2 linked regions of the Macaca fascicularis genome follow. The protein of the gene in region 2 binds, or shares a complex with, the protein of the main gene of each other region. Links are inferred from orthologs where the notes say so. Each region holds a gene or a part of one and is shown on either strand. Other genes may lie near its edges.

Region 1 (15,742 bases), about 73 Mb from region 2:
ATTCTGCTTGCCTGTGGCTGTTTGTACCATAGAAGGCAGATTAGTCAGGTGCGGTGGCTCATGCCTGTAATCCTAGCACTTTGGGAGGCCAACACAGGAGGATCGCTTACAGCCAGGAGTTTCGAGACCACCCGGGGCTACAAAGCAAGGCCCCCATCTCGACAAAAAATTTAAAAATTAGCCTGGTAGCTGGGCACGGTGGCTCACACCTGTAATCCCAGCACTTTGGGAGACCAAGGTGGGTGGATCACCTAAGGTCAGGAGTTCGAGACCAGCCTGGCCAACATGGTGAAACCCTGTCTCTACTAAAAATACAAAAATTAGCCAGGCATGGTGGCAGGCACCTGTAATCTCAGCTACTTGGGAGGCTGAGGCAGCAGAATCACTTGAACCTGGGAGGTGGAGGTTACAGTGAGCCGAGACCGTGCCATTTCACTCCAGCCCGGGCAAAAAGAGTCAAACTCCATCTCAAAAAAAAAAGGCCGGGTGCGGTGTCTGTAATCCCAGCACTTTGGGAGGCCGAGGCGGGTGGATTATCTGAGGTCGGGAGTTTGACATCAGCCTAACCAACATGGAGAAACCCCGTCTCTACTAAAAATACTAAATTAGCCTAACGTGGTGGTGCATGCCGGTAGTCCCAGTTACTCGCGAGGCTGAGGCAGGAGAATCACTTGAACCCGGGAGGTGGAAGTTGTGGTGAGCTGAGATTGCACCATTGCACTCCAGCCTGGGCAACAAGAGCGAAATTCCGTCTCAAAAAAAAAAAAAAAAAGAACTAAAATAAAAAATAAATTAGCCTGGCGTGGTGGCACACACCTAGTGCTTGGCTGCTTGGGAGGCTGTGGTGGGAGGATCACCTGAGCCCAGGAATTCCAGTAAGCTGAGTGTGCCACTGTACTCCAGCCTGAGTGACAGTGACACCCAAGCGCAGCAGCAGATTAGAAAACCTGGCAAAGCATTTCTTCTATACTGGCCCATCTTTGTCAAACATGTGGCTTTCTTACAAAGAAGACAGTATTAGAATTGAAATCAGTATTAAAATTAATTAAAAGACCAATCTTATAAATCAGAATCTAAAAACACTGGGCCACAAACACAAATATTATCTTGAAATTTCTTCTTTATACCCACATTTTCCAAAGGAAACATAAAATGTTCAGAGAAAAGGTTCAGATATCAATTTAACAATGTGATCTATTTTCCGTATATACAGGTAAGTTTTTTTCTTTTTTGAGATGGAGTTTCGTTCTTGTTGCCCAGGCTGGAATGCAATGGCACGATCGGCTCACTGCAACTTCTGCCTCCCAGGTTCAAGCTATTCTCCTGCCTCAGCCTCCCAAGTAGCTGGGATTACAGGCATGCGCCACCACACCAGGCTAGTTTTGTATTTTTAGTAGAGATGGGGTTTCTCCATGTTGGTCAGGCTGGTCTCAAACTCTCGACCTCAGGTGATCCGCCCGCCTTGGCCTCCCAAAGTGCTGGGATTGTAAGTATCAGTCACTGCACCCAACCAGTTTTTTCTTTAATGATTGTATAGAGATAACAGTACTATAATAAATAACAGCTAAATATTAGAAACATCAGCATAAACTAAACAGATAATTTCTGACGATCTATAACTTTTTCTAGTTGGCATTGTTTGATTGCCCAAGAGTACTTAGTGGAAGGCTGCTGTTCCAAAGTAAAACAGTGTTTCAATGATATGAAAAGGTATATAGATTTTCAATGATATGAAAATTAAATTATTTCATAATAAAAGTGATTCATAAAAGTTGATTAGGCCGGGCGCGGTGGCTCAAGCCTGTAATCCCAGCACTTTGGGAGGCCGAGACGGGCGGATCACGAGGTCAGGAGATCGAGACCATCCCGGTTAACCCCGTGAAACCCCGTCTCTACTAAAAAATACAAAAAACTAGCCGGGCGAGGTGGCGGGCGCCTGTAGTCCCAGCTACTCGGGAGGCTGAGGCAGGAGAATGGCGTAAACCTGGGAGGCGGAGCTTGCAGTGAGCTGAGATCCGGCCACTGCACTCCAGCCTGGGCGACAGAGCCAGACTTAGTCTTTAAAAAAAAAAAAAAAAAAAAAAAGTTGATTAGGCCAGGCATGGTGGGCTCTTGCCTGTAATCCCAGCACTTTGGGAAGCTGAGGTGGGCAGATCCCTTGAGTCCAGGAGCTCTAGACCAGCCTGGGCAATGTGGTGAAACCATCTCTACAAAGAATACAAAAAAATTAGCTGGATGTGCTGGTGCATGCCTGTGGTCCCAGCTATTTGAGAGGTTGAGGTGGGAGGATCACCTGAGCCTGGGATGCGGAGGTTGCAGTGACAGTGAGCCAAGATCGTGCCACTGCACTGCAGCCTTAGTGACAGAGTGAAACCCTGTCTAAAATGCACATGCCTGTAATTTCAGCTACTTGGGAGGCTGAGGCAGAAGAATTGCTTGAACCCGGGAGGCAGAGGTTGCAGTGAGCAAGATCGCACCAATACACTCCAGCCTGGGCAACAAGAGTGAAACTCTGTCTCAAAAAAAAAAAAAGAAAAAAAAAGTTGATTAATGATTTCTCTCACCTTTTATCAGCTTAAAAAAAACCTAAAGGCTATTTATGTAACCCAGTACTCTGTAATCTGAGGGCAAATACTTATCCTGAGATTTATCTGTGAAATAAATCACATAGTTTGTAAAGTTACTTTCAACTCTAAAATCCCATGACTATTTGTATTTTACTAGGTACATGCTACTTGATTTCTTTGCATTGAAGCTATCTACATCAGGAAGGATGCATAGTGAATAAACATGCCTTAGTCCCACTGACAAGCAGAAAAGAAACACACACATACATACTTTAGGAATATATATTTTTAAAGGATTCAATAATCTTTTTAAAGCTAAATCAAAGCATGGCTACAGGAGGAGAGGAAATATCCAAATTGTAATCAACGCAGATTATTTACTTAAGGCCTTCCATTTGTACCTGTATACATACTATATCACAGCACAAAAGCATACCCTACCCCATCTGGCTCTCTTAAGGTACATGATAAATCAGATTAATGCACATTCATCAAGCGGCATCATCTCAGGATATCTGTATCTTTGACATGGGTATGAATTCAGGGTTTCCTTGGGTCTCTTTCAAGGACTCTCTCTTCAGTATTTCTATTTCCTCATTTTCCTTCTATTTATGAAGAACTGTTATTTTTACATTTAATGCCCACTTTTCACCACTTGTTCATGTCAGTTCTCTGAAATGTTACTGCCTATGAACCATGACGTACTGTTTATAACAGAAGCAGAAGTTAAAAGATGTAGACATCACACAAACCAATGGTTATTTTAAAAATAGAAAACAATGATAAAAATTCAGTTGCCAACTTAAGAGGATTTTATATATTATGAAGTGTTCTATTTTCCTCCCACGGTCTGAAATTTATTTCTCAAGAAAACAGATTTTATTTCTAAGCCTTTACTGTCTTTGCTAGAAACAGAAAAACCAGTTTTCTCTTTGGCAAAATTGTCCCAGGAAAACAACACAAATGCTTTTCCAAATTAGAGCATAAGTCTTCCTTAAATGTCCTAGTGTGACAATTGGGATACAACAGCCATCTTTTAAATGTCATAAAGGCTATTGTTAAGATGGTGGTTTTGGCCGTTTTGCAGATGGTCCATCGAAGTTAGTTCTGTTATCAATGTTATTTTCATCTTCGGCATCATCTTCATCATCACCTTTTAAAATAAATATTTGTTGTATGACAATACGTTCTATGGTTGAAAGAAATATATATAGCTAAAGTGGTTGATAACGAGACCATTTCACTTTAGAGATTAATAAAACCATGCACATTTTAGATTAAAATGATTTTGAGAATTTCAGTGTTTAAAATCTTTATTTTCTATCACTTTCCTCTTTGGAAATATTAACTCATTCATCATAAAATCCAGTCTCTTTTTTTTTTTGAGATGGAGTCTTTCTCTGTTACCAGGCTGGAGTGTAGTGGCGCGATCTCAGCTTACTGCAACCTCTGCCTCCAGGGTTCAAGTGATTCCCGTCTCAGCCTCCCAAGTAGCTGGGATTACAGGCACGCGCTACCATGCCCGGCTAATTTTTTGTATTTTAGTAGAGACAGCGTTTCACCATGTTGGCCAAGATGGTCTCGATCTCCCGACCTCGTGATCTGCATGCCTTGGCCTCCCAAACTGCTGGGATTACAGGCATGAACCACTGTAGCCGGCCAAAATCCACTTTTAAAAGTGTACCGCTTAGTGGTTTTTAGTATATTCACTAGATTGTGCAACCATCACCACTCTCTAATCCTAGAACACTTTCATCACTCCAAAGAGAAATGAATTATGCCCATTAGCAGTCACTTTCCCTCAGCCTTCGGCAACCACTAATCTACTTTTGTTCCCCCTTAATTTTTATTAGTGAGAGGGTCTTGCTATGTTGCCCAGGCTAGACTCAAACTCCCAGGTTCAAGTGATCCTCCTGTGTCAGCCTCTAGAGTAGCTGGGACTACAGGTGCCCACCACTGCACCCAGCTCACTAATCTCTCTCTATGGATTTGCCTATTCTGTACATTCATATAAACAAAATCATATAACATGTACCCTTCTGTGTCTGGCTCTCACTGTAGCATAATGTTTTCAAGGTTCATTCATGTTGTAGCACGTATTAATACTTCATTACCTTTTATTGCTAATAATATTCCATTGTATGGATACACCACATTTTGTTAATGCACTCATCAGTTGATGGATATTTGCATTATTTCTATTTTTTAAAATTATCATTATTTTTAGAGATGAAGCGATGGGGCCTCACTCTGTCCTCCAGGCTGGAGTGCAGTGGAACAATCAGCCCACTGCAGCTTCAAACTCTTGGGTTCACGTGATCCTCCCACCTCCTAAAGGTGCAACACCAAGCCCGGTCAATTGTTGTTTCCACATTTTAGTCACTATAAATGCTGCTGCTATGAACATTCATGTGTAAGTTTTTGTGTGAACATACTTTCCAGTTCTCTTGCGAGGACTACCAGTGGAACTGCTGGGTCATGTGGTAACTTCATATCAACTTTTTGAGGAGCTACCAAACTCTTTTTCCCAGTGGTTACACTGTTTTACATTTCCACCAACAATGTACAAGATCTCCAATTTCTCCACATTCCAGCCAACACTTGTTATTGTTCTTTTTGATCATAGCCAACATCCATATTATCAAGATGTAATTCCCAAGATGGAAGGAAAGTACAGTTTAAGCTCTTCTTAGAGAATTGTAAATCCTAACTCTAATATCTATTCTTGGATTTTTCAGCTCAGGACAGTTAAAATGTACCTGCCTGGCCAGGTGCAGCAGCTCAGGCTTGTAATTCCAGCACTTTGGGAGGCCAAGGCAGGTGGATCACGAGGTTAGGAGTTCGAGACCAGCCCGGCCAACACAGTGAAACCCTGTCTCTACTGAAAATACAAAAACTAGCTGGGAGTGGTGGCGGGCGCCTGTAATCTCAGCTACTTGGGAGGCTGAGACAGGAGAATCACTTGAACCCGGGAAGCAGAGGTTGCAGTGAGCCGAGATTGTGCCACTGCACTCCAGCCTGGGCAACAGAGCTAGACTCCATTTCAAAAAAAAAAAAAGTACCTGCCTATTTCTGCATTCGAGGCAATTTTTAAAAAATAATGCAGTTAAACTTCACGTTTCTACTTTCAAACTGCACCTACAAAACTGGAAAGGCAAGGGAGTCTCTAGGAGTTAATACATGTTAAAATTAAGTCTGTCCCACTCCTTGGAACCTGTTCCTACTCTGCGATAGATTGTACTCTTCCAAATATGTCTGTAGTTTCACACCTGATAAAACTCCTTTTTATTCAATACTCCAGCTCAAAAGTCTTATCCTCTTTGAAGCCTTCCGAGGGTCTCTGGGTTTGCAACACTTACAGAGGGCCATAGAACCACGTTCTTTTTTTTTTTTTTTTGAGACGGAGTCTCGCTCTGTAGTCCAGGCTGGAGTGCAGTGGCACGATCTCGGCTCACTGCAACTTCCGCCTCCCGGGGTCAAGCGATTCTTCTGCCTCAGCCTCCCCAGTAGCTGGGATTACAGGTGCCCGCCACCACTCCCAGCTAATTTTTGTATTTTTAGTAGAGACAGGGTTTCACCATATTGGCCAGGCTGGTCTCGAACTCCTGACCTCGTGATCCGCTCGCCTCAGCCTCCCAAAGTGCTGGGATTACAGGCGTGAGCTACCAGCCTGGCCACTTTCACTTTTAATAAGAGTGTCTGCCTGTATAATCCCCTTGTGTTTCACAAGGGCAGGAACTGAGTCGCATTGACCTCATTCTTCCTCCAGGGCTCAGCTCAGGGTTTGGCAAATAGTAGTAGGCATTCGGCAAGTTTTTTAGTGAAATAAATGAAATAGCGATGAGTCGTGGAAATGTTTGAGTAGAAGCAGCCCAAATATAGTGATAAATGCCAACAATTTTTATTTTTTAAATTATCTTTGAAATAACAATGGAAACGGGGTCTCGATATGTTGCCCTGGCTGTTCTGGAACTCCTGACCTCAAGTGATCCTCCTGCCTCGCCCTCCCAAAGTGTTGGGATTACAGGAGTGAGCCCCACTTCGCCTGGCCCGCCAAAAATTTTTAGATGCAATTCTTCTTTCCTCGAGGCTCACTTTGTCCAAGTCTGCCACTCTACACGGGCTCCCCAAGCCAATTTCCCCTGGCTCCCGCCCCGTCCTCCTGTCGCTGCAGCACCGTCTCAGAGCTCACCGTCCAGGGCCTCGTCTGGAGCCGCCGCCACCCGGTGCTGCACTTCCGCCTGTACCAGGGGGCCGAATAATTCCGTTACCAGCTCCTTCATCTGGGCCACGCCAGACAATAGGCCCTGGAAAGGGTCGCCGTCACCCGGCGCCTCACAGGACACCCGCAGCTTCTGCGGCTTCCCTTCCTGCCCGACATACTCTCCCAGCAGCTCCATGGTGACCACTAAGCTTCCAGAACACGACACCGGGAAGCGCCACCCGGAGGCGGAAATCAGCCCGTGGCCTGCGCAGGCGGCAGAAGGGAGAGGAGTGACATCCGTTTGTCGGAAGTCGCTCCTCCCCCTTCCTTCGCCTTTTTTCCTTGTCATTGGTTCCTGGCACTCGGGCCCCGCCTCCTCCGGCTACGCCCCTCGTGGCCGCTTTTCCCGCCTCCGCCGGGGCCGAGCCGCGGTTCGGGTGACAGTTGAGGATGGCCGGAGCCGAGGGCTCCGCTGGGCGGCAGTCGGAGCTGGAGCCCGTGGTATCGTTGGTCGACGTCCTCGAGGAGGACGAGGAGCTGGAGAATGAGGCGTGTGCTGTCCTGGGCGGCAGCGACTCCGAGAAGTGCTCCTACTCGCAGGTGGGCACGCGGCCCGGGCCTTGTCTCCCGCGGCTCCCGCCGAACCTCCCCTTCCCGGCCCGGCTGTCCCTATTCCCGCCTGCCGCAGTCGTCTCCCCAGTGGTGGTCCGGGGCCGCCGTTAGTCTGCCGCTTCCTTACCCCAAGCCCACCCTTCCCTTTTATCCCCAACCTCCTGGGCCCCCTTCAGCCTGTGTCCAGCAGGGGCCCCCATCTCCCCTCTCTCTAACTCTGTCCGGCCAGCCAGGAAGGACCCTGGAGCAGCTGCTCTGTCCGTCCTCTCCAGCCTCGTCCTGGTGCACCACTGCTTTTCACGAAACCAGCCCGCGACCTCTCAGATCCAGACATCTTTGTCCCTGCTTTTCCCATCCTAAGATTATTTATTTATTTATTAGGGACCAAATGGGAGACGTCAGGTTAAAGAGATTTTCAAATCCATAGGGATTTGCGGTGAGCTCCTTGACAGCTAGTTCCTCTGCAATTTAGTTTGACAAGTGCTAGCTAGTACTTTTTCTTTCTTTTTTTGGCAAAATGGAGCAAGTACCCATGTCTGTCTGCAGTCTGCCCTCCTCCCCTGGAAATAGACCGGAAACAGAACAGCAAGTGGCTCTGGCAGGGGAGGGGAGAGAGGAGAAAAGGATCTATTTGGCATTTGGAAGACGTTGTGAGTGAGCAAGTGTTTGAGGGGGTGTGATGTGTTTAGTGACTCACCCTATACTTCGAGGCACAAAAATGGAAAAGGATGGGTAGGAAGAAGACTGACAAAGGATAAGAACTGGCAGGAAGAAGGGTTACCGAGGCAGAGGGGTGGATTGGAACACTGGGGAGATGAGAGGAGAGACTTGCATTCATTATGTGGTATGAACTGAGGTCATAATACCAGTTCTCGTTGTTGACCAAGTTTAGTTTACACTGCAAAGTGCTAGATTGTTGAATAAACCTGGTATCCAGACATAGCCCCAGGTACTTTAAAACCTTTGGTCACCACTAAAACAATTTTTCGCCTGCTTTCCTTAAAAAAAAAAAAAAAAGTTCTAAGTCTGTATGTAAACTATTTTTGAAGTGTAGTTACCTTTATAAAATGGATTCCCTTAATGTTTTCTTTTTATTGTGGTAAAAAAAAAATATGGAAATTTGCACAAATCATGTACACAGCTTGAAAGGAAAGTGTGCATGTTCCCACCACCCAGATCAACAAATAGAACATTAGGAGTGCAAAAGGCTTATTGGAAAAGAACTTAAAAAAAAAGAGAAAAGAAAGAAATAGAATTTTACTGGCATCCCGGAAGCCTCCTTGTCTATTCTTCCTCCTTCCTAGAGGAAGGTAACTATACCTATTATACATATTCACTTTTTTTTTTTTTTTTTGAGATGGAATTTCACTCTTGCCACCCAGGCTGGAGTGCAATGTCATGATCTTGGCTCACCGCAACCTCCACCTCCCGGGTTCAAGCGATTCTCCTGTCTCAGCCTCCCGAGTAGCTGGGATTACAGATGCCCGCCACCACGGCCAGCTAATTTTTATATTTTTAGTAGATGGGGTTTTTTAGAGATGGGGTTTCACCACGCTGACCAGGCTGGTCTTGAACTCGTGACCTGAGGTGATCTGCCCACCTTGGCCTCCCAAAGGGCTGGGATTACAGGCGTGAGCACTGCACCCAGCCTACATATTCACTTTTTAACATTTTGTCACATTTATCTCCTTTTCTACTTAAAATTTGTTGTTTTAAAATTTTGAACTATTTAAAAATAAGTTGCAGACATGATGACACTATACCTCTAAATACTTCAGCATGCATCTCCTAAAAATCAAAGAGATTCTTTGCATGTGTTGATTCTCTCTTTGGTGGATTTACAAACATTTTCCAGGATGAAAGTGTGATATTACTTACATAAACCTATACATATGCTCCTGTGTTTTCACCTGTTAAAATGATTAAACAGATTCATTTATTCACAGCCGACTGACAAATTCAGACATCCTATCACTTTAAGAAAGGAGTGCTGACTTGTGTCATGGCTAATGCTTGTAATCCCAGAACTTTGGAAGGCCAAGGCAGAGAACTGCTTGAGCCCAGGAGTTTGAGACAAGCCTGGGCAACATAGCAAGACCTCGTCTCTGCAAAAAATAAATAAATTAGGAAGAAAGAAAAAAGTGCTTGCATGAAAAGCACTAGTATAAAAATGAAACATGCAACACAACTGTGTTTTGGTTGATGCTCTGCTGTGTAAACTTTTTAGTCTTAATGGTTTTTACAGAAAGATCTTGACCACAGATAATCTGATTTTAATTATTTTTCAGTTCCTAGTGTGGGTATTAGGTAAGCCATGCTATTACATTAATTCTCTTTTCCATTTTGGGGGCTTTTAGGGCTCAGTAAAGAGGCAAGCACTATATGCCTGTAGTACCTGCACCCCAGAGGGAGAAGAACCAGCAGGAATTTGTTTAGCTTGCAGTTATGAATGTCATGGAAGTCACAAACTATTTGAGCTATACACAAAAAGGTAAACATAGTCAGAGATTGTTACTAAATGCTTTTGAAGTGTAGATTCTGTCCCATCTACACTTTTTCCTTATCATGTTTTTTCATGCAAAGCTGTTGTACAGTAGTGAAATTTCATGTAATTATTTTATATAATTGGAGTTTCCAGAGCCTTTAAAAACATAATATGGTACAAACTCAAACTACTCATCTTTCTCTACCATCATTTTACTTGTGTGTGTTTGTGTGTATGTGATATAAATATTTGCTTCTGTACATATTAATTTCCAGAATTGTGAAGTCTTATGTGCTTGAATGCTTGAAGAAATTTTAAATTGGATTTTGTAAAAAGAAAAATAAAATTGTTATTTCCTCCTTTTTTCAGAAATTTTCGTTGTGATTGTGGAAACAGCAAGTTTAAAACTTTGGAATGCAAATTACTTCCTGTAAGTAAACACTGTAACTATAAATGCAGTTAGAGCAGCTGGGGTTAATATTTGCCAGAGGGGGTAAAAAACAAATACCTATATTTTCCAAAAAAGAAGTTCTTATGCTTATTCTTTGCAGATGGCCATTTAATTTTTTACTTTGTTGGAAAAACTATATAAACTGTTGAGAGCCTACAAGATAGATGGTAATTAATATGAAAGGTTTGGGGAAGAGATGTACTTGAAAGTAATTCAGGTTTAATTATATTGGTTGTACTTATTCTCTGAGGCTTTTAAAGCAAAGGATATGACTTAAAAACAATAAACAGGGTCAGGAGATCGAGACCATCCTGGCCAACACGGTGAAACCCTGTCTCTACTAAAAATACAAAAATTAGCTGGGCATGGTGGCACCCAGTTACCTACTCGGTCAGCTACTTGGGAGGCTGAGGCAGGAGAATTGCTTGAACCCAGGAGGTAGAGGTTGCAGTGAGCTGAGATTGCACCACTGCACTCCAGCCTGGCAACAGAGCAAGACTCCATCTCAAAACGAAAACAATAAATAGACTGGCACAGTGGCTCACACCTGTAATCCTAGCATTTTGGGAGGCCGAGGGGGGCAGATCACTTGAGGTTAGGAGTTCGAAACCAGCTTGACCATCATGGTGAAATGCTCCCACCACTAAAAATACAAAAAATTATCTGGGCATGGTGGTGTGTGCCTGTAATCCTAGCTACTCGGGAGGCTGAAGCATGAGAATCGCTTGAACCCAGGAGGCGGAGGTTTCTGTTACCCAAGATTGTGCCACCGCACTCCAGCCTGGGAGACAGAGCGAGACTCCATCTCAAAAAAAAAAAAAAAAAAAAGAAAAGAAAAAGAAAAACCAATAAATAAGGCCGGGCGTGGTGACTCACACGTGTAATCCCAACACTTTGGGAGGCCTACGTGGGAGAATGGCTTGAACCCAGACCAGCCTGGGCATCGTAGTGAGACCCCATCTCTATCAAAAAGGAAAAAGAAGTACCTTGAAATTCCAGGCCAATGTCAGTTCACATAGATTGATAATTAATATTTATGATTAACTTTTATCTCCACTTTACTGAATAGGTGTATTTAATTTCTCCTAATTACCACCAAAAAAAACAAAAACAAACACAAAATTTTATTTTTTCCCTGTATCCTGAAAAAAGTATCCCTTTAGTAGTAGTGAGGTTTTTTTTTCCTACTTTGAAAGTTAAAGATCAGCCTCTTGGGGGAAATAATGTGGAAATGTATTGAATGTATTAATTTTATAATGTGTGAAATTATAGTTAAAATTAGACCATATTATTATTGAAATCAATATTATATTTCAGGACAAAGCAAAGGTAAATTCTGGCAATAAGTACAATGACAACTTTTTTGGATTGTACTGCATTTGCAAGAGACCTTATCCTGATCCTGAAGACGAGGTAAGAGAATTGGAAGTTAAACCTGGGAGTGTGTCCCCTCTAGCCTTGATTCCTCAACTGCTTGTCATATCTGAGCCTCTGGCTCTTCGGGAGGCAGTGCGGGATGGTGAAAGGGTTCTAGATTTATCTTTTCTTATGAATCTGGGTCGGATCTATAATTGGTACACATCTCAACCGTTCTTTCCATTTTTACATCATAAGAATGAAATATTGCACTTTGGGAGGCTGAGACGGGCGGATCACGAGGTCAAGAGATCGAGACCATCCTGGCTAACACAGTGAAACCCCGTCTCTACTAAAAAAATACAAAAACTAGCCGGGCAAGGTGGCGGGCGCCTGTAGTCCCAGCTACTCGGGAGGCTGAGGCAGGAGAATGGTGTAAACCCGGGAGTCGGAGCTTGCAGTGAGCTGAGATCCGGCCACTGCACTCCAGCCTGGGCTACAGAGCGAGACTCCGTCTCAAAAAAAAGAAAAAAAAAAAAAAAAAAAGAATGAAATATTGGAGAGGACTTTCCCAAAGCCAGAGCTTCTTCCCTTCCTCTCCTTCCCTGACTGCCTCCCCCTGCCCCCTAACACTTTCTAAGAAATGACCTTCAATTTCTTCTGTCTCTCTACGGAAAGAAATGGGGTATACAAACAGCATCCTCTTAAAAATGTCGGCCGGGCGCCGTGGCTCAAGCCTGTAATCCCAGCACTTTGGGAGGCCGAGGCGGGCGGATCACAAGGTCAGGGGATCGAGACCACAGTGAAACCCCGTCTCTACTAAAAATACAAAAAATTAGCCGGGTGCGGTGGCGGGCGCCTGTAGTCCCAGCTACTCGGGAGGCTGAGGCAGGAGAATGGCGGGAACCCGGGAGGCGGAGCTTGCAGTGAGCCGAGATCGCGCCACTGCACTCCAGCCTGGGCAACAGCGTGAGACTCCGTCTCAAAAAAAAAAAAAAAAAAAAAAAAAAAAAATGTCAATGAGAAATATATGCCAAATTCAAAACGAGTTCTTCCTCACTCCTGCACCTCTTACCTCCCAAGCCTAACCACTGTTAACACTTTTGGTGTGTGTATTTTTAGGTCTTTTTCTGTGCACATTAAAGTGTTTTGAGTGAATGTGTTTCAATGTGTAATTTCCTTTCCATTAACCGAAGTGAAAATTCTGTACACTCACTTCTGCAGCTGGTTTTTCTCACCAGTATATCATAGACATTCTTTCATGTCAGCAAACACACTTACCCCATTCTAACTGCTGCAGAGTATCCTATAACTTCATATGCCATAAGTTAGTCAACCGAATTGTTCTTCTACAGCAGAATGGCATTATCTAATTTTTCAATATTATAAAGAAAGCTAGAGTGAACATCCTTATACAGTAATACAACTGAGTATACTCCAAGTATTTATGTAGAATGGATCAGTAGAATTGACAGATCAAAGTGTATTTGTGGTGTTTAAAATTGTGATTGGCCGGGCACTGTGGCTCATGCCTGTAGTCCTGGCTACTCGGGAGGCTGAAACACAAGAATCACTTGAACCCATGGGGCAGAGGTTGCAGTGAGCCGGGATTGCGGCACTGCACTTCAGCCTGGGTGACGGAGCGAGACTCTGTCTCAAAAAATAATAATCATAATAAATAATAAAATTGTGATCATATCTGCCAAAAAAGTTGAACCAGCAACAGTATATGATAATGTTTTTTCCCCAACACTTTTGTCAACCCTGAATATTACCAGTTCTTGGAAATTTTGCCATTTTGATAAATGAAGAATAGTATCTTAAATTTTTTTTCTTTCCCTGATGATAAGTGAGATTATGCATCTTTTCATGAGTTCGTTGGACATCCGTAATAACCTTCCCTCTGAATTGTCCTTTCATATCCTCAGCCCATGTTTTGATTGGTTTGGGTTTTGTTTGGGTATTTACTGATTTGAAAGAGTACTTTTTGTCTTTAGAGATATTAGCCTTCTGCCTTCTTCCTTGTTTTCTAATTGCGTTCGAACTATAATTATTAAACCAAATTATGTACAGGGACAGATTGAAGTTCTCTGAGTTAGCAAAAATAAAATCTTAAAACTGAAATTTTTTTTCTTTCTTTTTTTTAAGACGGAGTCTCGCTCTGTCACCCAGGCTGGAGTACAGTAGCGTGATCTCGGCTCACTGCATCCTCTGCCTCCTGGGTTCAAGCGATTCTCCTGCCTCAGCCTCCTGAGTAGCTGGGATTACGGGCACCTGCCACCATGCCTGGCTGATTTTTGTATTTTTAGTAGAGACAGGGTTTCACCACGTTGGCCAGGCTGGTCTCAACCTCCTGACCTCAGGCGATCCGCCCACCTTGGCCTCCCAAAGTGCTGGGATTACAGGCGTGAGCCACCGTGCCTGGCCAAAACTGGATATTTTAAGGCATGTAGTAAAGTGTTACAGCTCCTTCTGTTCCACAATATGTGCTTTTTTTTTCCCTTTAAGAAGCCTACAATAGGAAAAGGACAGAACAACATTGGGATGTTAATTAACAGTTATGAGAGCCTGGGAATAAAAGAAAGTCATCTCCCAAATAGTCTATGTTCTTTGGTATATTATTTTCCTAGGGCCAGCATTTAATTATTTAATTTATTCAAATTAGAGGAGTTATCTATCAAGAGGGTTTTCCTGACATTTACTTTTCAGTGTACTTGGCAGGATGGTTTTTCTGCAGCAGAAAAGCATTGTCTAATTTTTCAATATCATAAAGAAGGCTGGAGTGACCATCCTATACAGTAATACAACTGAGTATTGTATTAAAGGATGGTGTGGTAAAAAGTCCCAGTTGTCACTGTCTGCATCGGTCCATTCACATTACTTGCCTGGGCCTGAGTTTTGTATAAAATGGGAATGCCCTCCTTGTCTACACCGTTTTGTGAGAATCAGATATTAAGTAACTGATGTGAAAGAGCTTTGAGATTGTTTGTAGAGGGCTTATCTCAATGTAAGCCTTTGGAACACCAGTTCATGTGGAACGAATATTTAGTATCTTATTCTACTGCGTGCCAGGTTACTTCCATGTTCCCGAATTCAGTGTACTCCTTAACAAACTGCTTTTCTCTGCTAGATTCCAGATGAGATGATCCAGTGTGTGGTCTGTGAAGATTGGTTCCATGGAAGGGTAAGGAAAATGTTCTACCTTTTGAAACCATTGTCATCACAAAGAGATAAAGGTTATATTTTACATTATAATTACTCTTCTAAAAATAAATTTTAGTGATATGATCAGTGTATTATTACAGTATTTATTTGTAAAATAATGGGCATTTTGGACAGTGTGGCAATCACAAGAAAATTTTTGGTGTTCTGTATTCACAGCATCTTGGTGCCATTCCCCCCGAGAGTGGGGATTTTCAAGAGATGGTATGCCAGGCCTGCATGAAACGTTGTTCCTTTTTGTGGGCTTATGCTGCGCAATTGGCAGGTAGGTATCTTTGTGAAGTTGCTGTGCCATAAACTTGTGCTTGTGAAATTTGTGTGTTCAATTCAGAATTTTTAGCAACTATTTTTAACTCTGTGGTTATAAAATAGTATATGTTCTGGCCAGGCACGATGGCTCACTAATCCCAGGACTTTGGGAGGCCAAGACAGGTGCATTACCTGAGGTCAGGAGTTTGAGACCAGCCTGGCCAACATGGCGAAACCCCGTCTCTATTAAAAATGCAAAAATTAACCGGGCATCATGGCACGTGCCTGTAATCCCAGCTACTCAGGAGGCTGAGGCAGGAGAATCGCTCGAACCCAGGAGGCAGAGGTTGCAGTGAGCTGAGATCATGCCACTGCACTCCAGCCTGGGCAACAGAACGAGACTCCATCTCAAAAACAAAAAAACCAAAAAATAGTATGTGTTCTTTCTCCGCAAGGTGCATAGATTGGTTGGGACACTACCAAAAACAAATTTATACTTAAATGATATGATGCAGAATATTGATGAGACCAGAGTTAGAGAAAATGGAGGAGGCAGTTTTCAAATGGATTTTGAAAGATACATAGAACTGAAATAA
Region 2 (14,395 bases):
CCAGCCCTGACTTTTAATCAGCAAAATACCCTCCTATCCACAGTGACAATCCAGTGTCCTCTGAGAAGCAAAATCAGCTCTGGTTGAGAACCACTGGTTTATGGTAACAGGAAGGCAGAGTACATGGGTACAGATGCTAGAAGGTGGTTAGTTTCAGGGGCAGAAGCCTGTAAATGTATACCGATTGCTTCTATTTTCTTACTGAAATACGAACTAAGGTAAGAGTCAGAACAGGAGGAGATGTTAAGAGATTTGAGGGGTCAGAAGGTATGAAACAGTCACCAGAGAAGAGGGCAAGTGAAAAGACTAGAGAGATGGAATATTTCTGGGTGGCATAAAGGACCCCCATTTTAGTGTCTTGGTCATAAGTTTAAAGTAAGATCAGTCAGCATGGCTATTTTTTACTAGCCCTTTCAGCTGCATGGGTCTAAAGTAGGCAATGAGTTGAATATGACAAAAGCAAAAAAAAGGAAGGGAAATGAGGCGGATTCTGTTGGATTTATCATATTAAAGAAAATGAACTGGAAAGACAGGAGGTGGTGGTAGTAGAGAGTGGGATGTCTGAAACTGAGATGTGGAGGATCTGCAGCTCTAGAACATGACCAAGGAAATAAGTGGCTATTAGTATGATCTACCTGAATATTGAAATCATCAAGATTTATGACAAGAGTGGTGTTCATGTGGTAGTTTGTTTCAAAGCAGAAGGGTACTAGGGATGAGGGACAATGGTCTGGAAACAGTATGAGGAAAAATGAGGACACGTGCACCACCCCCAGGCCCAGTGTACAATGGGTGTGGAAGGGAAAACACCACCTTAGGAGAAGCAGAGTCCTCATAAGAAACCAAGTCTGGAGAGCATAAATGTGAAGGAACATTCAGAGAAGAGGTTGAGGATACAGAGAATTTGACAAATGACTGGCCATCATTTCCAGAGGGTACAGTAGAAGAGCTTCTGGAGTTGGAAAAGTTAGGTAGATGGAGACAAAACAGAGTGGAGATACGTGGTTATTAAGTGTAAAATATGAGATGACTCAGTAGTTTAGGACTAATTGTGATGACTGATACCAACGTCAATAAGATAAAGGGTATGAGATTCGTTCTGTTGTTTGTGGTAGGGAGGGATGTGCATCTACGGGCATTCCTCAAGCCTGCCAATGGATATGCATGTAGGAGAAAGTATATGCAGTAGATGCAGTTTTACTCTAGAGTTACAAATTAGACCAATCTCCAGGCTGTTGATTTGTTTGTTTTTAAGAGACAAGGTTTTGTTCTGTCACCCAGGCTGGAGAGAAGTGACTCAATCATAGCTCACTGCGACCTCAAACTCCTGGGCTCAAGCTATCTTCCCACCTCAGCCTCCCTCGGAGCTGGGACTACAGATGTGCACCACCATGCCCAGATAATTTTTAAAAGTTTCAAATAGGTGGTGTCTTGCTATGTTGCCCAGGCTGGGCTCAAACTCCTGGACTCAAGGGATCCTCCTGACTTGGCCTCCCAAAGCACTGGGATAATAGGTGTGAGCCACTGCACCTAGCCTCCAGGCTATTTTGAGAGAAGTCTTGAGTACCTACTTCAAAGAATTTAAATGAGAGGATGAAAATAAAGCAGTTAGCACAGGATCTGATACTAAACTAATAGTTACGATAATACTATTGTTGCCAGGCACAGTGGCATGCTTACTCGGGAGGCTGAGGTGGTAAGACAGCTTGAGCCCAGTTTGAGACCAGCCTGGGCAACACAGCAAGACTCCGTTTCTTAAAAAAAAAAAAAAAAAAAAAAACCTCAGTCTTCGTTCCACAGCAGCAGCCTCCAACAAGAATTTATCCAGCACCAAATCTATATTGGTCCTGAACAACACAATCCAATCACCAACATACAAAACCAAAAAACCAAAAATATTTTATTGCTGAGTCATCTTGGGGTTCCATAAAGGACCCCAAGCCTTGCTTGGAGTCTACAGCTTTGCTAGGACTCCCGTGACATCAGGATAGAGATTGAGGCACAGGGTCCTTTGGGTTCCAATTAAGGAACTGTCTACTGTGATTCTGTTAATCTTATTAGTCCCTCCAGGTCACTTCTACTTCATCTGTCCGATACCTGTGGAAAAACAGAAGAAACATGGTGGAGAGCTAGCCCTTAACATCTTCCATTCTTCTCTGCCCTCATGTTCCTGGACTCTCTTCCCTGCTGTTTTGTCTACATCCCAAAAATCTACCCTCACCAAGAGCTGAATCACTCACCTCTGTGTAACCCCAGAATCACTGAGTGGGGTCCTGTGTCCAGCCTGAAACATCTCCCAGCCAGCCTGGGCTATCATGGCTCCGTTGTCAATACAGAATCTGGGATGCAAGAGATATGAAAATTGGGATCTAAGGGTGGAAAATCCCTATAACAGGGAGCAGTAAAAAAGAAACCAAAGGGAAAGTGTGTTTACCTCTCATCTGTAGCAAAAAGCCGGGCTCCACGTTCCTGGCACATTGTCGCCATCATCTCCTGTAGCCTCACATTACCTACAAAGAGGTAGGGAACAGGATTAGCTTAGTTTTAGCTATCTCCTCATGGTCCAGCAGAACACGTCATGTGCACTTACTTAGAACAATGACGTAGGGGACCGGGGCAAGGATTGGGAAGCTTACTCCAAACCCTTAATGATTTAAGAGTATCAGAAGGAAGACGCACAGTGCTAAGAACAGGAAAGAGGAACACTGTTCAGTAATACATACACCCCACTCCTCCCACAATGAGGGCCTCCTGGGAGCCACAATGTGCCATGGCTCGCTCTGTGATCTCTACCAGCATTGCAAACACAGTTTCCTGTCGGGGACACATAAGGAGAAAATATTAGAGGGGCGCCCCAGATTAGTTCTGCTCTACAATATAAAACCTCCTCCAGTCCCAACTTTCTGTCCCAGCTTTTTACTGCATTACCTGCAGGGAGAAACACAGATCCTCAGGAGTACACTCGCCTGTGGCCAGCATCCGATGGGCTACATCCTACAATTAAAGGGAAAAACAAATGAATCAGCAAATCATGGTTTTGGGATTACATAAGAACAAAAGTTAATGCATTCGGAGAGTGACCATGTTTCACCACAATTCAAGTTACCAGCACATCCTGTACCACATTCCCTTCACTGGCATCATGGTATAGAATGAACAGCATTCATTTAAGATGCAATAATTAACTTTTTGAATGCTTGTCCTAACATGTCTCACCCCTTACTTATCCTGCTTAATTTTTCACCTGTACTCATCATCATCTGACACTTCATTTATTTTCCTCTTTCTTTTATCTCCCCCACCCCCCCATTTAGAATCTAAGCTCCATGTAGGCAAGGATTTTTGTTTTGCTCCATGTTGCATCTCTACTACCTAGAACAGTACCTGGCACACAGAGATATTCAATGAATACCTTATAAATGAATTTACTCAGCACATGATATGGACCAGGAATGTGCTATATGAACATACTGAGCTATGTGAAATACAACAGTAAGTAAAACAGATATGCCTCATTTAAAAAGCATGAAGGTGCCCCGTCTCATCACCTCTCTCACACTCACCTCAATGAAAGACAGGATCCCTGAGAATGAGACGTCCATCCCCTTTACGGTGTACGGCAGCTCAACTAGCTTCTTGCCTCTGTGTGGGAATGAGTACACAAGGCACTAAGCCTACAGTCAACCGGCTTCTGACCCTCCAAAGCCCCTCCTAAGTTCTGTTCATATATACCGTATATGGGGAAATCCCTGAAGCCCCAGCAGCCAGCCTGCTTCCACCTTATGTCCCCTTACCGCTTTGCCATCTGTTCAATGTTGTATCCTGGACTTGGGTCGTTAGAAATCTAACAGAAGAAAAAAATAAGGAAAGAGGGAATGGAATAGGATGAAATCAGATATGCAAGAAGCATAAGAAGATTATTTACTATTTCCTCCCTCCACCTCCATGGCTTCCCAAAAGTTCACCCGCATTTTATGTTCTCTGCAGCCCCACTGGCTTACCTTCAGCACTCGAGCAAAACGATCCAGACAATTACCCACTGCAATATCGATGGTTTCCCCAAAGATACGGTAACGATGTTCCGAGTATGCAATCACCTAAGGGTGATGAGGATGTCCATGAAACCCCAAGTCTGTAAACAGGATTATTTGGCTTTGGGAGAAAAACATAGCAGAGGATCAACATGACCACCAGAGCTTCCAATAAGAAGTGGAAGAAAGGTGTTTCCCAAATGGTGAATGGGTAATGTTTTTACAGCTCTGATTTGAAAAGACATCTGCATACCCTGAGGATTCCAGGAATAGAGTCCTAATCTACAAGACAGTCTAGGTCCAAGCAGAAATAAATTATCATTTCAAATACATTTGTTTTCCAGCTTAGAAGTTCCTAATATATTCCTTAAATGCAGTCTTGACAGTAGGGAACAGGCTTTTCTGCTGGGAGGCAGAGAACATGAATCCTTCTAAATTATGACATAGTGACAGTGGTATTTGTTGTTTTGAGACAGGATCTCACTCTGTCTCCCAGGCTGGAGTGGAGTGGTGTGATCATAGCTCACTGTAGACTCGACCTCCTAGGCTCAAAGGATCCTCCCACCTCAGCTTCCTGAGTAGCTGGCCTACCATGTGTGGCTAATTTTTATATTTTTGTAGAGATCGGGTCTCACTATATTGCCCAGCCTGGTCTCAAACCCCTGGTCTCAAGCAATCTACCTGCCTCGGCCTCTCAAAGTGCTGGGATTATAGGTGTGAATCATTGTATCCAGCTGGGCACTGGTATTTAGAACCAAGAAGCAGAGTTGAAGAACTCAAAAATCTCATATGGAGGCAGATTAATGGCCCAGCCAAGTCAGCAATAGCAGTCCACTTAAGACCATTTTTCTTTTTTTTGAGACGGAGTCTCGCTCTGTTGCCCAGGCTGGAGTGCAATGGCGTGATCTCAGCTCACTGCAACCTCTGCCTCCCGGGTTCGTGCCATTCTCCTGCCTCAGCCTCCCGAGTAGCTGGGACTACAGGCGCCCACTACCACGCCCAACTATTTTACATATTAAGGCCATTCTTCATATGTGACCAACTTTTAGCACAGAGATTATCTGTCACCTACTGACACATATGCTGCAGACTTAGAACACCAAGGGTTTCCTAGGAACCTTAAGAAGTCCCTTTCCCTTCCCAGTGCTGTCAGGGATTTCTTCCCTTTCTGATACACATCTTAATCTGCTGTCAAAAAGATAGTAACAAAGGAGAAGGAAAAACCCTGCCTTTCTGCTCCTGCTATCCACTCCTCTCCACCTAATTACCCTCCCTGTTTCTTACACCTAAGCAAACATTAAAAGAGGAAGACAAAGCCGCCATTGCTCCTTTTTATCACCTCTTGTAGTCTCCATTATACTTTCCACAACCCAAGTCTCTAACCTTGTATGTCATCCTTCAGGCCTCAACCAACTACTTGCCCTCTACCTGCTGAAGTTTCCGCATCGTTTTCATGGGAAACACGTGCCTCATCTTCTAGACACAACCCTTTCATGGGCTGGGGACAATGCTGAACCATTTCTAATGATAATTAAGTGTTCTGTTGGAAAGGAATCCAATCCCAACCTTCAAAAGGTCATATAAGGTATCCCAAACAACTTTAGCTTCACTTATAAATTTAAAATATCTTCTGGCTGGGCACAGTGGCCCACGCCTGTAATCCCAGCATTTAGGGAGGCCGAGGCAGGTGGATTACCTGAGGTCAGGAGTTCAAAACCAGCCTGACCAACAGGGTGAAACCCCGTTTCTACTAAAACCACAAAAAATCAGTCATGTGTGGTGGCAGGTGCCTGTAATCCCAGCTACTCAGGAGGCTGAGGCAGAATAGTTTGAACCTGTGAGGCAGAGGTTGCGGTGAGCCAAAGTCGCACCATTGCACTCCAACCTGTACAATAAGAGCAAAACTCCGTTGCAAATAAATAAATAAGATAAAATAAAATACCTTCTATAATTTATAAAGTATTTTTATAGTTATTTATATTTCTGAACTTTTAGAACAACAAAGTCTATATAATCATCCCCAGTAATACAAAAACAAAACATGTAGTTGCCCTAAAATAATAAATCAGGTAGCGTCCCTTAGTTCCTTATTTTTTTTTTTTTTTGAGACAGAGTTTTGCTCTCATTGCCCAGGCTGGAGTGCAATGGTGTGATCTCGGCTCACTGCAACCTCCACTTCCTGGTTCAAGCAATTCTCCTGCCCAGCCTCCCAACTTGCTGGGATTACAGGCACCTGCTACCACGCCAAATTAATTTTTGTTATTTCTAGTAGAAATGGGGTTTTGCCATGTTGGCCAGGCTGGTCTCAAACTCCTGACCTCAGATGATCCACCCACCTTGACCTCCCAAAGTGCTGGAATTACAGGTGTGAGTTGCCATGCCCAGTAACCGTTAGTTTCAGTTGCTAAGATTTACAGAAAAAATAAGCTTCAAAATAATGCAAGATCTTTCAGATATTCATTATTTTGAAGGCTTCAATCCTTACCATTCATTCCTTTCCTGAAGTAGAAATTCCTAATCTTTATGATCAGATATAAAGTCTGATAATGATAAGTCATCTAATGTTCTGAACATGCTGCCAAAATTTGCAATGTTACAAACTCGGTTGGGAGTTTTCTGGTCTACAGTATTTTAGGTTCAGATGAGTTCAGCTTTGTTCCTGACATTCCCATGACTCAGATAGAACGAAGAAGATATTGGTTCAGTGCCTCGGAAATTGAGATGGAATGGGTAGAGCACTCTAAATACCTGTGTATTTCCTCCACTGACATACAACACGGTTGGGCTGGTGGCTCCAGTGATGAGGCGGCCCATCTCGATGTGGCCTATACAGTGGTTCACACCCACCAATGGCTTATTCCACAGTTGGGCCACAGTACGGGCCACAACAGCCACAGAAACCAGTGGGGCACCCATGCCAGGGCCTAGGGAGATAGAAATGGAAGTTACAATGCTAGAGATTGGAAAAAAAATAGGTGGGGGAAGTAAGGGATGTGAGGTGGGGTAGGGGTAGTGGTGGTGGCAGAGGTAAGGTGTTGGCTATTTTGACCTAGCCAGGTTGCAGGTATATTCCTCCATCGTTGACCACTCTCCCAGCCATACCCTTGGTGTATGCAATGCAATCGATATCCTGGGAGGTTAATCCAGACTCTGTTAGTGCCTCCTGCAGCAGGTCTAGGATAACAGCTCGGTGATGCCTGGCTGTATCACCTGGAAGGAATCCTAGAAAATGAACACAGGTCAGAGATCACAGGGATTTTTGGTAGCAAAGGTAGGTAGGAAGTTAAAGAAAGCAACAGGAGGTTTAGTGATGTAGTAAGAGTCCTTTCACTTTCCCCAAGCATCCTATCTTCCACATTTTCGGATACACTCTTTCCAGCTTCTATATAGGCTGTTCAACTTTCAGAAATTCTCTTCCTCTTACCCTACTCAGCCTTCATGTCTCAATGCAAGTGGTATCTACCCATACCCTTTGGTGATCTTTTTTTTTTTTTTTTTTTTTTTGAGACGGAGTCTAGCTCTGTCACCCAGGCTAGAGTGGCCTGGTGCGATCTCGGCTCACTGCAAGCTCCACCTCCTGGGTTCATGCCATTCTCCTGCCTCAGCCTCCCAAGTAGCTGGGACTACAGGTGCCCACCACTGCACCCGGCTAATTTTTTGTACTTTCAGAAGAGACGGGGTTTCATTGTGGTCTCGATCTCCTGACCTCATGATCCACCCGCCTCGGCCTCCCAAAGTGCTGGGATTACAGGTGTGAGCCACCGCGCCCCGCCTTTTTTTCTTTCTTTTGAGACGGAGTCTTGTTCTGATGCCCAGGCTGGACTGCAGTGGCACGATCTCGGCTCACTGCAACCTCCGCCTCCTGAGTTCAAGCAATTCTTCTGCCTTAGCCTCCCAAACAGCTGGGACTACAGGCGACGCCACCACACCCAGCTAATTTTTGTATTTTTAGTAGAGACGGGGTTTCACCATATTGGCCAGGCTGGTCTCAAACTCCTGACCTCGTGATCCGTCTGCCCTGGCCTTCCAAAGTGCTGGGATTACAGGCCTGAGCCATCGCGCCCAGCCTGGTGACCTTCTTTCTCTGTGACCCTACAGAACTCTGTGCATGATGATGTCATTTATTTAACAATTACAACATAATAATTTTCTGTGGTTTGCTCAGCTTAATCATGAGTATCTCAAAGCAGTAAGTATTTTGTTTATCTTTGTATTCCCAGTGCCCAAGTGCCTAGAGGAGTGAATGCTAAACATACATACCTATTTCTAATGAGTAATCTGTCACATCACCTGTTCAGGGAGGCTTTTCAGATACATGCAAATCAGTCGCCCCTCTCCTATGTATGCAAGTGTTTGAGGGGAGAGTAGGCAAGACACAATGGCTTATTAAAAGTGGTAACGTGTTTTGTACTTTCTTTTTTCTTTTTTTTTTTTTGAGACGGAGTTTCACTCTTGTTGCCCAGGCTGGAGTGCAATGGCATGATCTCGGCTCACCACAACCTCAGCCTCCCGAGTAGCTGGGTTAACAGGCATGTGCCACCACGCCCGGTTAATTTTTTGTATTTTTTAGTGGAGACAGGGTTTCTCCATATTGGTCAGGCAGTTCTTGAACTCCGACCTCAGGTGATCCACCCCGCCTGGGCCTCCCAAAGTGCTGGGATTACAGGCGTGAGCCACCACACCCAGACGTATTTGGTACTTTCATCTAATCTTCAAGACCTAATGATACAGGTATTATTCCCATTTTAAAAACAAAGACTAGGCCCGGGCGGTGGCTCATGCCTGTAATTTTCACACTTTGGGAGGCTGGGGTGGGCGGATCATCTGAGGTCAGGAGTTCGAGACCAGCTTGGCCAACATGGTGAAGCCCCGCCTCTACTAAAAATACAAAAATTAGCTGGGTGTGGTAGCACACACCTGTCTGTAGTCCTAGCTACTCGGGAGGCTGGGGTAGAAGAATCTCTTGAATCTGGGAGGCAGAGCTTGCAGTAAGCCGAAATCGTGCCATTGCATTCCAGCCTGGGCAACAGAGCAAGACTGTCTCAAAAACAAATTAAAATAAAAAATAAAGACCAAATGTCCAAAACATAAATATTTAATGTGAATACAGCACAGCCAGCCAGTTCTCTGACATGTAAGCTGGGAGTCTTTCCACTCTCATCTCTCTACTCATCCTAGAATATTTCAAAAAATAAATTTTTTTTAAAAAGGAGTGTATATTCAGGGCAACTGGAATATATACTCCTGCTAAGCGTTTTTTAAACAGAATATTTCGAGTCCATCTCTATTACACTGTTTATCATGCTGTAGTATAAACATCTATTTATATGTCTGACTCCACAGCAGTATCATAACATCTATTTCTGAATGCTTAGCACATAAAATGAGCTCAATAAACGGTAAACGAACTCATCAGATCCACGTCCAAGTGCTTGTAACTCTTCTAGTCATCAGCCTTGTGACGTTAATAATATCACATAATTTCAATAAGACTCAGATCAAAAGCTGCACCTCACTAGTATTTAGGAAGATGGAAGGCTGATTTTCTGCGGGGAAGTGCGCCGAAAACTCTTAACTCCCCTACTCACCCACCTGTGCCCGGAGGCGTGACATAAGTCCGCCGCGGGTTCGCCAGCACCTTGCCATCCCGCACCACACCCACGCCAATCTTATTGGCGCTGCCTTCAAAACCCAGCACCGCCGGCATGGCGGAGCCTGGGAGAAAACGCCGACAGGACTCCTAGCAACGTCAGGAGCTGTGGAAGTCCTCACTAGTCTGCGCTGGGCCGCAGCTTTCCGGAGCGCAGAGGAAGCGGGCTAGCCTGCAGATAACAGTGGGAAAGACAGCGCAGAACTCCCGCGAGCGGAGACCCGCCAAGGCCCCTCCAAGGACCTGTCTTCCTAACTGCCAGGGACGCCGAGCCGACTCTGTGCTTTACAATCCTGTCCGTTTTCCTATATCTTTCCCGTGGTCCAGCCCAACCTTCTCCACTTTTTTTTCCCTTTGCACAGCGTTAGACTCTTAAGTCAGAGTCAAACAATGTGCCGTGCGTCGGGCACAACGATAAACAGCCCGAACGAGGGTTGGGGCCCTAGGTCTCCTAGAGAATTAGTTGAGAGAGGCAAGGCCAAGCGACTTCGTCACGTGGTGTCAGACAGACCAATCACGCGCATTCTTCGGCCATGTGACGCGTGCCTCTGATCACGTGACCAGGTCCGCTACCCACGTGGGGGGCTCAGCGTGCATCCTTCTTTGTGCTCGGGTTAGGAGGAGCTAGGCTGCCATCGGACCGGTGCAGATACGGGGTTGCTCTTTTGCTCATAAGAGGGGCTTCGCTGGCAGTCTGAAGGGCAAGCTTGAGTCAGGACCCTTAATTAAGATCCTCAATTGGCTGGAGGGCAGATCTCGCGAGTAGGGTACAAGGCACTATGAAATGATCTAGTTACGTGGGTGAGGGGCTGAAGGGCCTATGATGCACGGAGGCGGGGAAAGGATTTAGAGATAACATGGTTTGAAAGGCGGGACCTGGTGCGGGGACGCTCTTGAGAGGAGTCTTCTCCCCAGGCTTAGCTGGTTTCATGATTTCTTTGCGTCTGTAGGCAACGCGGTAAAAATACTGCTTTGGTGGGCGACGCGGTACAGGTGCCGAAGAGCGTTCGTTACGGGAATGCCGAAGCGTGGGAAAAAGGGAGCGGTGGCAGAAGACGGGGATGAGCTCAAGACAGGTAAGAATGAAATGAGCCCCTCTTCCTAGAAGCTACGGCGGGGTTGTTTGTAATTCCCTTGATGAACGGTAAGTACCGGCCAACTCATTTTTGCAGGGGTTTGTGAAGACGCAGTAACCGCAGGCTTTCGTTGGGTCCATAGCTAACGCCGGATCGCGGTTGGAAACCACCCACTTTTTGTCAATATATATTACTCATTTTATAGAGCCAGAGCCCAAGAAGAGTAAGACGCCCGCAAAGAAAAATGACAAGGAGGCAGCAGGAGAGGGCCCAGCCCTGTATGAGGACCCCCCCGATCAGAAAACCTCACCCAGTGGCAAACCTGCCACACTCAAGATCTGCTCTTGGAACGTGGATGGGCTTCGAGCCTGGATTAAGAAGAAAGGATTAGATGTGAGTGGTGTTTGAGGGGAAGACACATTCTTTAGTATTGAATGATCTTAGGGTTTAGTCATCCCTTTTCTCCGTATAGCCTTCAGGCTGTTTTTTCTCCTGCCTGCAGTTTTCGGTGGGGCTTCCCCAGTCTTGCCAGTTGTATTTCCTAAATGTCTGCTCCTTCACTTCCATTGCCATTTTCTTTTTTAATGTTCTCTCCTCTTCCCAGAATGTTGCAAAAACCTTTTACTATACTTCCTCCATTTTATCTTCAGCATGTCCTCCATTTCATTAATTATAGCTTAAAAATCTTAGCTTGCCTATAGAAAAAACACATTCATAGTATAGCACGTAAGACTTTACCTCTGTTTTCATTTATCTAGCTTCGAATTGTTTAAATATTATTTAACCTCGAACTGCTTGACTGTTTAACCTGTGCATATTTATGACTTAGCATATATTCAATAAATGTTCTGCTGAATTGATAATACATTTTCCACCTTTCTTTTACTTATAGTGGGTAAAGGAAGAAGCCCCAGATATACTGTGCCTTCAAGAGACCAAATGTTCAGAGAACAAACTACCAGCTGAACTTCAAGAGCTGCCTGGACTCTCTCATCAATACTGGTCCGCTCCTTCGGACAAGGAAGGATACAGTGGCGTGGGCCTACTTTCCCGCCATTGCCCACTCAAAGTTTCTTATGGCATAGGTGAGACCCTATTGATGCCTAATGCCTGAACTCTTCAAGACCAATTGCTAATTCTCCATCTCTCCCCCACCTCTTGATTGCTTTTCCTTTTCTTACAGTTTTTTATGCTAATTCTGTTTCGTTTCTGTAGGCGAGGAGGAGCATGATCAGGAAGGCCGGGTGATTGTGGCTGAATTTGACTCGTTTGTGCTGGTAACAACGTATGTACCTAATGCAGGCCGGGGTCTGGTACGACTGGAGTACCGGCAGCGCTGGGATGAAGCCTTTCGCAAGTTCCTGAAGGGCTTGGCTTCCCGAAAGCCCCTTGTGCTGTGTGGAGACCTCAATGTGGCACATGAAGAAATTGACCTTCGCAACCCCAAGGGTAACAAAAAGAATGCTGGCTTCACGCCACAAGAGCGCCAAGGCTTTGGGGAATTACTGCAGGCTGTGCCACTGGCTGACAGCTTTAGGCACCTCTACCCCAACACACCCTATGCCTACACCTTTTGGACTTACATGATGAATGCTCGATCCAAGAATGTTGGTTGGCGCCTTGATTACTTTTTGTTGTCCCACTCTCTGTTACCTGCATTGTGTGATAGCAAGATCCGTTCCAAGGCCCTCGGCAGTGATCACTGTCCTATCACCCTATACCTAGCACTGTGACACCACCCCTAAATCACTTTGAGCCTGGGAAATAAGCCCCCTCAACTACCATTCCTTCTTTAAACACTCTTCAGAGAAATCTGCATTGTATTTCTCATCTATAAAAATAAGAATCCTACAACCAGGCTCCTGTGACAGATTTAGAGTTCTTTTAAGCCCAAGAGTTTTTATTTGAGGGTTTTTTCTTTTTTAAGAAAAACTGAACAAAGACTACTAATGACTTTGTTTGAATTATCCACACAAAAATAAAGAGCCATAGTTTCAGCCTTGCTGTCTTTGTGTCTTACCCCTTCGTGGGGCTACACATTCCCTTCCTCGTATTTTCGTGCATACAAGTTAACAACTGAAAAAGGGTAGAGTCATGACCTTATTTATTTACAAGCACAGGATAAGTCCCTAATCTCCCCCAAAGACTGAGCAACTCTACCCAGCCCAGTTAAATACTGCAACTGGGAGGGGGGGGGGGTAAAAAAGGTTGGAAGGAGGAATTAAGGGAAATACAGGAATAGGGGAACATATCCCACATTAAATAGTTATATACACATCAGTTCCTGTGGTTCTGTACAGAGCAGCGGCTGACCCCACCCCCACAGGAAACAATGTGGGGAGAGGAGACTGAGGGTACTGAGGCCAGAGCCAACCTCTGGTGAAGTGCAATAGCAGCAGCAAAGTCCTAATGGTGCACAAGAGGGAGGGGAACCCCCAGGGCTACCCACCCCCACCCTGCCCTGGAATGTGTAAGGGACAGGAATGGCTCTCAGGGAGCACACAGGAAGGACAAGGCTGGAACCGTCTTTAGGACCCAGTTTTAAGGGCAACGTTTTGCCTACTTCACCCTAGACACAGCAACCCTTGGAGGAAAGCAGATGGTCAGCAGTGCTCTTATCTGCCCCTCCAAACCTAAGTGAGGGCCTGGTTCCTTCCTACCTCTCCCCAGGGAAAAGGAAGGCAGCTGCTTGGCTTCCTTATAGAAGCCCCGGGAGCCTTTAACTACCCCAGCTCCCTTCGTAGTGTCACTGTCCCCACCAGGGAGGGGCCAGGCACAGTCTGTGGGTCATCAGGCTCAGGAGAAGTTCTGGACAGGGTGGCTGACCTTCATACAGGCCCAATAAAGGGCCCGGCCCAAACACAGCACAGCCAACAGGATGACAAATGCCCAGGCTGCATAGATGCCTCCATATCGCCGTGCATGCTTCCATGTGCCAAACTGATGAAGGTAAGGAGGGAGAAGAAAAGAAAGATGGGGTTAATGTTGGTCTCCACTACCTCCTATTAGTCCTAAGAACAGTAATAACTCATGCTTCAGTCCTTGTTTCTTATCCACATATAGCCACCCTCAGGGACCTTCTTAAAGGCAGAGCTGTTCAGCTCCCTTCCCTTAGGCAGTAACATACTCATCCCATCCCACACTGTATCTCAGTTTTTCTTCATATCTGACAACTGAGCCAGGTTTGCAAATAGCAACTCTTAAATTAAGCACTTCACTGTCCTATCCTCATCCTACAGACAAAGGATGGCTATTTTGCACTCTTAGTAGTAATAAAGTCTGTTTGATCAGCCACCTTACACTTTAGCTCATCCATATCTTAAAACAAACTACTCCCCCAAGTTTCTTCCACTTTTTTTAAGGGTAGCAATTTCCCAAATCTTAGCCTATGGAGATGAGGCTGCAGAATGAAAGAGACTGGGGCAAGGGTACTCACAGCAAGGCCAGTGGCAGTGACTGCCAAAAGCAAGCCAAGCAAGAAGCAGCAGATACATCTCTTACGTGGGTATCTGCGCCCAATAGATGACCTGTGGGGAGGCAAATAGAAATGGATGCTTTCTACAGCCATAGAGTTTTTACTCCATACATCAATGACCAGCTCAATCCCTAATCACTTACACTTTCCTGCAGTGAGGACA

Evidence for each region.
Region 1: OSGEP (region 2) and GON7 share a complex: the UniProt entries of both Homo sapiens proteins name them as parts of the EKC/KEOPS complex. The link is inferred for Macaca fascicularis from reciprocal best matches to the Homo sapiens genes OSGEP and GON7.

The regions. Positions count from the first base shown.
Region 1 is NC_088381.1:161,202,166-161,217,907, forward strand, and holds GON7 (EKC/KEOPS complex subunit GON7), read right to left. Parts: upstream 7,026-15,742; 5' UTR 6,968-7,025; coding exon 6,760-6,967; intron 3,721-6,759; coding exon 3,626-3,720; 3' UTR 2,836-3,625; downstream 1-2,835. Other genes in the region: putative E3 ubiquitin-protein ligase UBR7, read left to right, coding at 7,222-7,371, 9,741-9,874, 10,238-10,298, 11,637-11,732, 14,806-14,859, 15,057-15,162. UniProt on the Homo sapiens protein: Component of the EKC/KEOPS complex that is required for the formation of a threonylcarbamoyl group on adenosine at position 37 (t(6)A37) in tRNAs that read codons beginning with adenine.
Region 2 is NC_088381.1:88,036,317-88,050,711, forward strand, and holds OSGEP (tRNA N6-adenosine threonylcarbamoyltransferase), read right to left. Parts: upstream 9,891-14,395; 5' UTR 9,739-9,890; coding exon 9,624-9,738; intron 7,254-9,623; coding exon 7,134-7,253; exon of another isoform or gene 7,081-7,133; intron 6,956-7,080; coding exon 6,780-6,955; intron 4,153-6,779; coding exon of another isoform or gene 4,098-4,152; coding exon 4,002-4,097; intron 3,845-4,001; coding exon 3,795-3,844; exon of another isoform or gene 3,733-3,794; intron 3,643-3,732; coding exon 3,564-3,642; intron 2,995-3,563; coding exon 2,929-2,994; intron 2,815-2,928; coding exon 2,724-2,814; intron 2,511-2,723; coding exon 2,435-2,510; intron 2,340-2,434; coding exon 2,241-2,339; intron 2,098-2,240; coding exon 2,058-2,097; 3' UTR 1,875-2,057; downstream 1-1,874. Other genes in the region: DNA repair nuclease/redox regulator APEX1, read left to right, coding at 10,700-10,757, 10,963-11,150, 11,650-11,842, 11,973-12,490; PIP4P1 (type 1 phosphatidylinositol 4,5-bisphosphate 4-phosphatase), read right to left, coding at 13,554-13,697, 14,194-14,284, 14,376-14,395. UniProt on the Homo sapiens protein: Component of the EKC/KEOPS complex that is required for the formation of a threonylcarbamoyl group on adenosine at position 37 (t(6)A37) in tRNAs that read codons beginning with adenine.